Linked DNA regions of Ovis aries. The protein of the gene in region 1 interacts with the protein of each later gene in a biochemical or structural test. Links are inferred from orthologs where the notes say so. Each region holds a gene or a part of one and is shown on either strand. Other genes may lie near its edges.

Region 1 (4,344 bases):
TCAAAGATGGTGCCAGATTTGACCTGTATAGGGCCAGAATGGGTGGTCAGAAGGGATACCTGTTGGCCTTGGCCTTGAAAAGGTCTCCTGCCCATGCTCACATAACCACTACACAATACTACAGTCTAACATTGCAGTTGAAAAATAGGCTGCCTAGATTCAAACCTCAGCTCTGCCATTTACTATATATGATCTTGAGCTGGTGACTTCATCTCTTTGCACCTCAGTATCTTCATCTATAAAATGAGATCTCATTCTCTTCTTCAAACTATCTTTCCTAGTACAGTCTATGTGCCAAGCAGCATACTAGATGCAGAAAGTACATTGACAAACAGGACAAAAATTCGGCCCTTGTGAAGCTAAGTTCTAATGGGGTTATCTACCTGCCTTTCTAGGCTGCTGGATGCAATTGAGTTACTTCCCACAAAAATACTTGAAAATAGTACCTGGAACATATTAAGTACAAGCCAAAGCAGGTGCTGTTAAGACCCCGTAATGACAAACCAGGAATTTCTTAAAAGAAAGGGGGGGGGCACCATTTTGGAGTCTGCCCGCCCTTGTCCCCTTTTCTCCTGGGTTGACCCTGAGCACCTGAGGTCCCCTAGGGAGCCGCCTCTTCCCTCCATGTCTCACCTGCCAAAGATCCAAGCCTAGAACAGCAAAGTTTTCATAGGCGTAGATGTTGCTATCAGGGGAATACTCAGGGTTGTCAATCTCTGGATGGATCCAAACGCCCTTGTACTCTGGGTTGTCGATCTGCCTGGGCTTCCACTCCCCCTGCAGAAGTAAACTGACGGGTGAGCGAAGATCACTGCCTTCCCCATTGTGCACCACCCTCCTCAGAGTGCCAGACTCACCTTGTACTCTGGGTTCTGAATAACAGGTGGTTCCCACTCTCCGTCCATCTCTTCATCCCAGTCCTCAGGTTTCTTAGCATCAGGGTCAGGAATGTGCTCAGGCTTGTCCCAATCCTGAGGATACATTAGGAGGTCAGAATAGGAGCAGCTGTCCTCCACACGCTCCATGGTGGGGAGCCCCTGCCCAAGCACCAACCTCAGGCTTGGAGTCTGTGGGGTCATCGATCTTGGCACGATCATCCCAGTCTTCAGGCTTAGCGGCATCAGGATCCTTTATCTTCTTGGGGGGCAAGAAATCCCAGTCGTCCTCCAAGGAGCCTGACTCCACCTGGCTGTTATCAATCTTCACCTCATACGTATTATCAGGCCGCACAATCAGCGTGTACAGGTGGGTGAATTCATCGTCCTAAAGAGAATGAAAGATGAGTGGCCCCGCCCACCAGCCTGGGCTCAAAGCCTCCCCTCACAGCCATTTGTGACCACCCCCAAGGCACACCTTGCAGCGAATATCCTTGTTGATCAGCACATTCTTGCCCTTGTAGTTGAAGATGACATGAACCTTCTTGGTGCCGGGTCCACAGATGTCTGGGCCTTGGTGAGAAGCAGATCTTGGTCAGAACTACAGTCTGTCCACCATTACAAGCCCCTGCCCACCCCATTACAAAAAGACAACTTGGTTCTTAAACTCAGGACTGTCAAGCTGAAAAAACAAAATTCAGACCTTCTCTCTAAGGAACTGGGGGAGGACACTTAAAAAAAAACAAACCACACATCAGTACTCCAGAACTCACAATCTTCACTTGCACAACTAGGAACAAGGAAATGCCTATATAGTAAAACTGCACGAATTAGTGTGAAGTCGATGATAAAAATGCAGTAAGTGGTTCCTAACTATTCCCTCACCTTCCCTATGAAAGAAATGCCTAAAGCATGTAAGTGTTTTCTATGCTCTCAAGACCACCGTTCATGGGCGATAAAGAACTCCCCGGGTTTCAAACTCCCTCTAAGTGACCAGAAATCAGCACCAGGGTGGAGTCCCCTTACCAAACATGATGTTGTATTCGGAGTCCCCGTGCATGTCTGTCTGATCCAAACCAGCTGGAAACAGCTTCACATAGCCGCCCCCACAGTCGATGTTCTGCTCGTGTTTCACCGTGAACTGCACCACCAGCGTCTGACCCTTGTTGCTGAAAGGCTCAAATCTCGCCGACAGTGCGTAGAACCGGGCATCCTGGCTAGTCTGCAGGCCTACCGAGAGACTATAATCAGATCAGGGCTCAGCACCAACCCCCCGGGGAACCCTAAGGATGTAAAATACACACCAGTCCTCCTTCCTTCACCTCCCCTACTTCTAGGGATACCCAAACTCTGTCCTCCTGGATCTGAATACCCACTCCTAAGTTCTTACCTTTATCTTTCTCCTGGTCACCATAGAACTTGCCGGAACTGAGAACGAATTTGCCAAAATCCGGTTTGTGTTTGGATTCGATCCAGCGCTCGGTCCACCCGTCTAGAGGATCAAAGAGGCAGGTAAGCGCGGCGGTGCTGATCAACTCCCCACCAAACATCTACCAGGAGCCACAAACTGCTGGGAGCAAGGAAGGAGATTCCCCCCTCCCCCCAGACCGTCCCCACCCCAACCTCTAGTTTGACATCTCTGGTGACTTAAAAGATCCTCGGGCAAACCCTAACTCCCGCTTCGGAAAGCCGCTGCTCCCTCCACGCTCCCCAGGGACGCCGAAGGAAGGCTCGCCTTCGGCTCCAGTCCCTGAAGGAAACCGTGTTGGCCCTCTGAGCAGTAATTACAAGCGACACGCAGATATGGGCCGGAGGGCCAGCCGCGTCGTTAGGACGATCTCGAGCGGGACTAGCCGTTACCTCCGTCCAGAAACTGCTCCTTGAAGTAAACGGTGGGATCAGCGGCGGCCAGGCCGAGAAGGCCGAGCAGCAGCGGCACGGGTAGCAGCATGGCGGGCCGAGGGGGCGGTGGCGCGCGGGCCCTTTAAGTCACTCGTCCGGCAGCAGCTCTGCAGTGGGGACGGACGCCGCCGCCGGCCGTGCCCTTTTATACCCCGCCTGCTCTCAAACCAGCCTGGTCCGGCCTCTTGGTCCGCCTTCCTCACTTTATCATTGGTCTGTGGCCATAGCCCTGCCTTTCCATTGGACCCTTCTAGGCTCAGCATGTTAGGCTGTGCCTCGGAACGCTGGGTTCCCAGATGGCCGATTTCTATTGGCCGCACCACTGGCCAATGAAGGTCGACCACGCGTTGTGGGGGACGCCCACCGGTGAAGTCGGGGGGGCCTCGAGCCCCTCAGTCCAGGTCATGTGACCAGACCTCGGCCCAGCCCCGCCCTCCCTTGCGCGCGGCGTTCGGGATCTAGGCGTTTAAAGAACACGCGCGAGCTGTGGTGCTGCGTGAAGCTAGGGTCCGGCTCCATTCTAGACTCCACTCAAGGGTTGAGTGGGCAAGGTTTTCCTAGCGTCTTTCTACTCTGAGTTTGGGGAACCCCACCATTCCCACCTTGTCTTTCTCTTCCTTCCCACTCCTCTTCCCGTCCTCCACCCGCCTCCCTGCCCCCCCCCCCCCCCCCCCCCCCCGCCTTCCTCCCCAACCCCGCCTTCTCCCTCCCACACCTCCCTCCCCCGGGATGGGGCAGAGGGCACCGAGCCCTGGGGCTTCACTTCCTCCCAGCGCCGGAGCCCTGCAGGCCTGGGGGAAGAGTGCCTGTTCTCAGTACGGTCCCCGTAGTGACCTGGCAGCCTGTCAGACTGCTTCTGTGTGAGCTGGGGCAAGTCATTCAGCCTCTTTGAAATCACAGGATCTCTTGAAAGGCCAGGAGGAGCGACCCCGGCCAGCTGCTGTCCGGCGGAAATGCTTTTCAAGCTTTTAGGGATTTTCTGGGACAGAGGGAAGGACCCTGACGGCTCAAAAGATGTGACGACAGGTTGTGTTCCTCTCTTTGCAGCCTGTCCTTTACCTCCCTCCCATCCCCGCCCCCCAGCCGGTAAATGAAAGGGGTCGCCGCCTTGTGGTCTCCCGCAAACGGCCTGGTTTTGCAATTAAACGGCTGAATATGAGCGGGCAGGGGGTTCCGTTGGGGAGGAGAAAAAAAAAGAGGCAGATGGTGAGGAAGATAAGGTCCAAGAGAGGTGGGCAGGACCCCTGAGACTAGAGCCTTCTGAGGCCACAGGCACATGACTGGCAGTGACTGACACCAGCCCCATACCCCTAGGCTGCAGGAAGGAGGAAGGAGAACGGGGACTTTCCCAAACTGAGCAAATAGGCTCTGGACTTGGGAAGTAGGAATAAACTGGCGAAGGCGGGGGGTGGGGGGTTGGGGTGGTGGGGGGAGCGGATTCTGGCAAAAGAGTGGGGAGGGTGTACTTCCCCTCCAGTGGTGGGGACTGGGAAAGGGAGGTGTGACGAGTTTTGACGAAGTTGGGGTTCTACTTCTCCAAAACAGTATGGCGTATAACCTAAAGTGT
Region 2 (4,565 bases), on another chromosome or scaffold:
TTATCTTAGAACTATAAGGGGGTAGGGTACCTTTTGAAACTAAAAAAAATTAAATTAAATTAAAAGTTTATTTTATATTGATATTTGTTCTTTGGAAAAAAAAGAAAAATATCAAGAAGCAAAAAGAAGGAAAATTGTCTTTATTTCCATCTAACCCAAAACATGACTCTTCCTCTGTTGAATGTATGTAAAGACACTTTATAGACACATACATCCGCACACACACGCACATACACACACTCCCTGTTGATCTGTTAATAGCATTATAGCTCTCCACATGCCAAGCTACTCACTAATTGTTTTATTTCTCCAAACAAATAGCTCTATCATGGACAAAATTGTGGAATAAACTAATTGAAGAATGATTATGAGCTGGTGAATATTGACTATAAAGTCTACAGAGTTTCATGTTTGGGCATGTCTTGGTTTTGTTCATTTTGTTGTTTGTTTTTCCCTGAGTTTGTCCTGTTAATCAGTAAACTAGGATTTCTGTGAGTTGTCCATTATCCATGGGGGAGGGCATGAGACAAGCTATGTGTAGCTGATGGCAAAAATGACCTCGATATGATACAGCTTCTCTTAGGAAATGGAGTCTATTCCCCACTCCTTGAATCTGAGCTGGCCTTGTGACTTGTGTTGATCAATACAACGTGGTGGAAGCAATAGTGTATGTATCCCAAGCCTTAAGGGGCCTTAAACCTTCCGCTCTTCCTTTTCTTGTGAATCCTGTAATCACCTCTGTGTGATTAAGGCCAGGTGAGTCAACTGGAGGAGGAGAGACCCGTGGCTCAGTCGCCTTCATCACTCCAGCTCATGGGTGCACAATAGCCAGCGTGTAAGTGAGACCATGGGCCACCAGTTGACACATGAGTGAGTCCAGCTGAGACCAGCAAAGAAATTATTTGATTCATAGAATTTTGATTTAAATAAATGGCTGTGTGTTGTTTCTCATGAAGTAAGAGATAATTGACATACTATGTATCTACCGCTCTTGCTGGAGGCTCAGATCCTCCAGCAGGCATCTCACAAGGGTTTGGCTCCGAACAGTTTGTGACTCTGTATTCAGGAATTGGTAGGAATGCCTGAGGCTCTAAGTAACCTACAGAAGCTGGAGGCGGCTTAGTCAGGAAGCAGAGTTGGGCATCTCCCCAGGAAGCAGCAGAAGGGGCATGTCCCACATGATACTTGAGCCCACAGACCCCAGGGGACTTCAGCCTGGACCTTGCTAAAGTAAACTCCTTACCCATATTTTCTCCAGGGTCTCCTTTTTGGCCTGTTGGTCCTGGTATCCCAGGGATCCCTGGTGTTCCCTGAGGCCCCATCTTTCCAGGAGGGCCCTGCGAGCCTCTGAGTCCTTGACCTGTTGGAGGAAAAAGGAAACATGACTCATTATTTGTGTTCCTTTTCTATTTCTCAAAAAATATGATGCCCAATCCCTTCCCAGGGGAAAGGAGACACTGAGCTAGGGCTAACTTTTCTGAGCTGCTGTTTGTAAGGACCATAGAAGAAAAGCCTCCTAAGTCCCATGGGATGGTCTGCCTTGAGGGTCAACTCCCTGAGCCTGCAGGACCACCAAGTGTTAGCAGTTCCTGTGTGAGAGTCTGGGATGCCAGAATCAGAGCCGTGTCTCTGTTTCAAATGATAATATGTAGTTAAGAGTAATACAAGTGGCATAAATGCATTACCCTCCTCCCAATCCAGGCGGTTTCCTTTGGGAGATGAAGAGTCGCAGAGAAAGAACAGCCCAAACTGTACCTGGTTCTCCCTTTTCTCCCTTGGCACCATCACGCCCATCTTTGCCTGGGAGGCCGTTGATGCCTGCAGGACCACAGGCAATCACAGGGCAGGTCTTCCGGATAGTCTCACAGTTCTCTGCTTCTGTGTCTGCACAAGATGCTGTCATCACAGTCAGGAGAAGAAAAGGAAATGACGGAAACAGCGACATGGTCCTCACCTTGGTGTAAGAAAAGTCAAGGAAGGTGATCTCATCTTGTTCTCTTTATCTACACATATTTAGTGAGCTTATAACCTATACTGGGCACATGTGATGTAGAGATGGATAATCCATTCCTGGCCTCCAAACTGGGAATTTGGAAATGTATTAATAAATCCTTCAATGACACTGGTTAATTAATACTTCAACAAAGGTAGGCATAAATAACTGCATTGTTGAGAGGAAGGAGCCACCGGTGTCTGTCCTCTGGTGTTACTGCAGAAATCTCTGATTATGTTCTCTGTGTCCTTTGCAAGAGCAAATAGGCATACTCATGGCCAGAGACTCATGCCTGCTGGCTTAGGGAGTAATCATAAATGGAGACCTAGCTTGCTCTTGCACTTCTCCCACTTGGGCCCTACTGCCACCTGCATCCCATCCTTATATCTGGATAGTCCTTTGCCCTCAGTGTCAAGATAACCAACATCTACTCAGTGGCAGGCACTGAGCTGCAAGCTAATGATCCAGAGAGGAAGAGTCACTGCTAGTTACTAACCCAGCCACAATTAACTTGAGTTTGCTTTCTCTTGATGTTTCTTTCTCACTGGAAGAAAGACTTGCCAGGGGGAGAATTTTCTCTGGAAATTATTCACTCTCTTAGCCCAGGCAGGATGCTAGATCCCTCTCTATTTCCTGACAGGTGTTCTGTGTGTCTTATATGTCGAGATCACTGGCAATGTTCCTTGAATACCCGTCTCATTTTTTAATCCTAACATTTCATCTGATCTTCAAAGTTCTTTTCTAGATGTCCCTCCCCAAGGAAACCTCAGCATCCCAGGACCCAAGGTCTTGGCTCTCTTTGAAAACAAAGGTACAGTCTCATTTGCAAATGTTTAGGTGAATCCAGGAAAGTTCCAGATGCCCCAGCATAAACAGAAAAATAGACACTCCAGCATGGATTCTACTTGCCCTCTCCTCACCTCCCTCCAAGATCAAGTCCAAGCCCTAACTATATGACCCAGGACCCCAGATCCATTTACCAAAGTACTCACCAGGGCTTCTGCAGATCAGGGATACAGTCACAAGGAAACTGGCCCTCCAGCAGGGTGCTGGCAGATGCCTTAGGGTAAGAGAGGAGGCTGGGCTTGGTAATACAAGGTCCACTCAGCCTGGTGGACAGGGACCACATGGGCCTGCCTGGCCTTCAACCCCAGATTAATAAATAATTCTTAAGGGGATTTCCCAGGGCTTCTGATACAGTGCTGGGTGGCAGTTTTCTTCAATACTGCACGATCCCCACTTCAGATTGTCAGTATTTGACAGTTCTCATTTCTGGGCCAACATGAGTTGGTTCACATGGTTAACTGTGTTCAAGATTCATGTCTTCAGCAGAGAAACATAAAGATACCTATGAACGCACTCATGCTTGCGCCTACTAACCACACGCACACACGTGCAGATGTGCACAGACACACCCATGAAGGTGCACAAACACCCTGCTGCTTTTGACACACCAAGACCACGCCTGTCTCAGGCTCTGGACTTGGTCTTCACCCAGCCTGAATGTCCTCTCTGTCATGTCACTGGCTGGCTCCTTCTCTTCTATTGAAATGTTCCTGCCTCAGAGAACCCTGTGTTGACTACTTTAAGTGATCCTGCTCTCTATCATCTTAACTTTATTTCCTTTAATATTTCTTATATTCCATGATGTTATATTCTATCCATTTAGTTTACTTTTCTAGCTTTTATTCTGGTAAGTATAAACAACATAAAATTTTACCGTTTTGACCATTATTAGGTGTACAATTTGGCAGCATTAAGTACAATCACATGGTTGTACAGCCTTCACCACTACCTATCTCGAGAATGTTTTCATTATCCCAAATTGAAACTCTGTACCTATTAAACAGTAATTCCCTATTTCCAACCCCAAGGTCAGCCCCAGCCCTTAGTGACTGCTGTTTTATTTTTGTCTCTATGAGCTTAACTGCTCTTGGTGTCTTATATAAATGGAATCATACAGGATTTGTCTTTTTGTGACTGACTTATTTCACTTAGGTTCATGCCTTCAAGGTTCATCCATGTTATGACATGTATCAGAATTTCCTTCCTAAGTTTAAAAATTAAATATGTGTACATAACACATTTTGGAAACTTCATTTTTTATAGCAAATAAAAAAAAGGCCCTGGAAATTACCCAGTTATCCTTCAATAAGCAAATGGATAAATAAACCATGGAAAATTCACAGGAAAATAAGCAGCAATTAATACAATAACTTGGATGAATTTCAAGGACATTATGTTAAGTAAAACCAATATAAACCTGGAAGCTTACAGACTGTATTATTTTTTTCATATAATATTCTTAAAATGGCGAAATTAAATAAGGGAGACCATATCAGCAGTTGGCAGGGAATAGGGCTTCAGGGAGAAGATAAAGATGCCGAACAAGAAAGTTTCACTGTGGGTGAGGGAATAGTTCTGTGTCTTAACTGTGATGATTAGACAAACCTATCACTGCAATAGCATTTCATAGAACTAAACACCAAGAAAAAAGGAATTCAGGTAAATAATGGTTAAATGCAAGTAAAACCCATATTGTATTGTTTTGATGTCAGCTCGCAGGTTTTGG

Evidence for each region.
Region 2: the proteins of CALR (region 1) and MBL2 form a complex in vitro, tested with the Homo sapiens proteins (2 studies listed by BioGRID and IntAct). The link is inferred for Ovis aries from reciprocal best matches to the Homo sapiens genes CALR and MBL2.

Annotation. Positions count from the first base shown.
Region 1 is NC_056058.1:10,923,494-10,927,837, forward strand, and holds the start of CALR (calreticulin), read right to left. Parts: upstream 2,898-4,344; 5' UTR 2,827-2,897; coding exon 2,736-2,826; intron 2,368-2,735; coding exon 2,266-2,367; intron 2,106-2,265; coding exon 1,902-2,105; intron 1,449-1,901; coding exon 1,354-1,448; intron 1,264-1,353; coding exon 1,054-1,263; intron 972-1,053; coding exon 858-971; intron 778-857; coding exon 634-777; intron 24-633; coding exon 1-23. UniProt on the Homo sapiens protein: Calcium-binding chaperone that promotes folding, oligomeric assembly and quality control in the endoplasmic reticulum (ER) via the calreticulin/calnexin cycle.
Region 2 is NC_056075.1:6,145,373-6,149,937, reverse strand, and holds the start of MBL2 (mannose-binding protein C), read right to left. Parts: upstream 3,062-4,565; 5' UTR 2,986-3,061; intron 1,955-2,985; 5' UTR 1,946-1,954; coding exon 1,756-1,945; intron 1,361-1,755; coding exon 1,244-1,360; intron 1-1,243. UniProt on the Homo sapiens protein: Calcium-dependent lectin involved in innate immune defense. Binds mannose, fucose and N-acetylglucosamine on different microorganisms and activates the lectin complement pathway.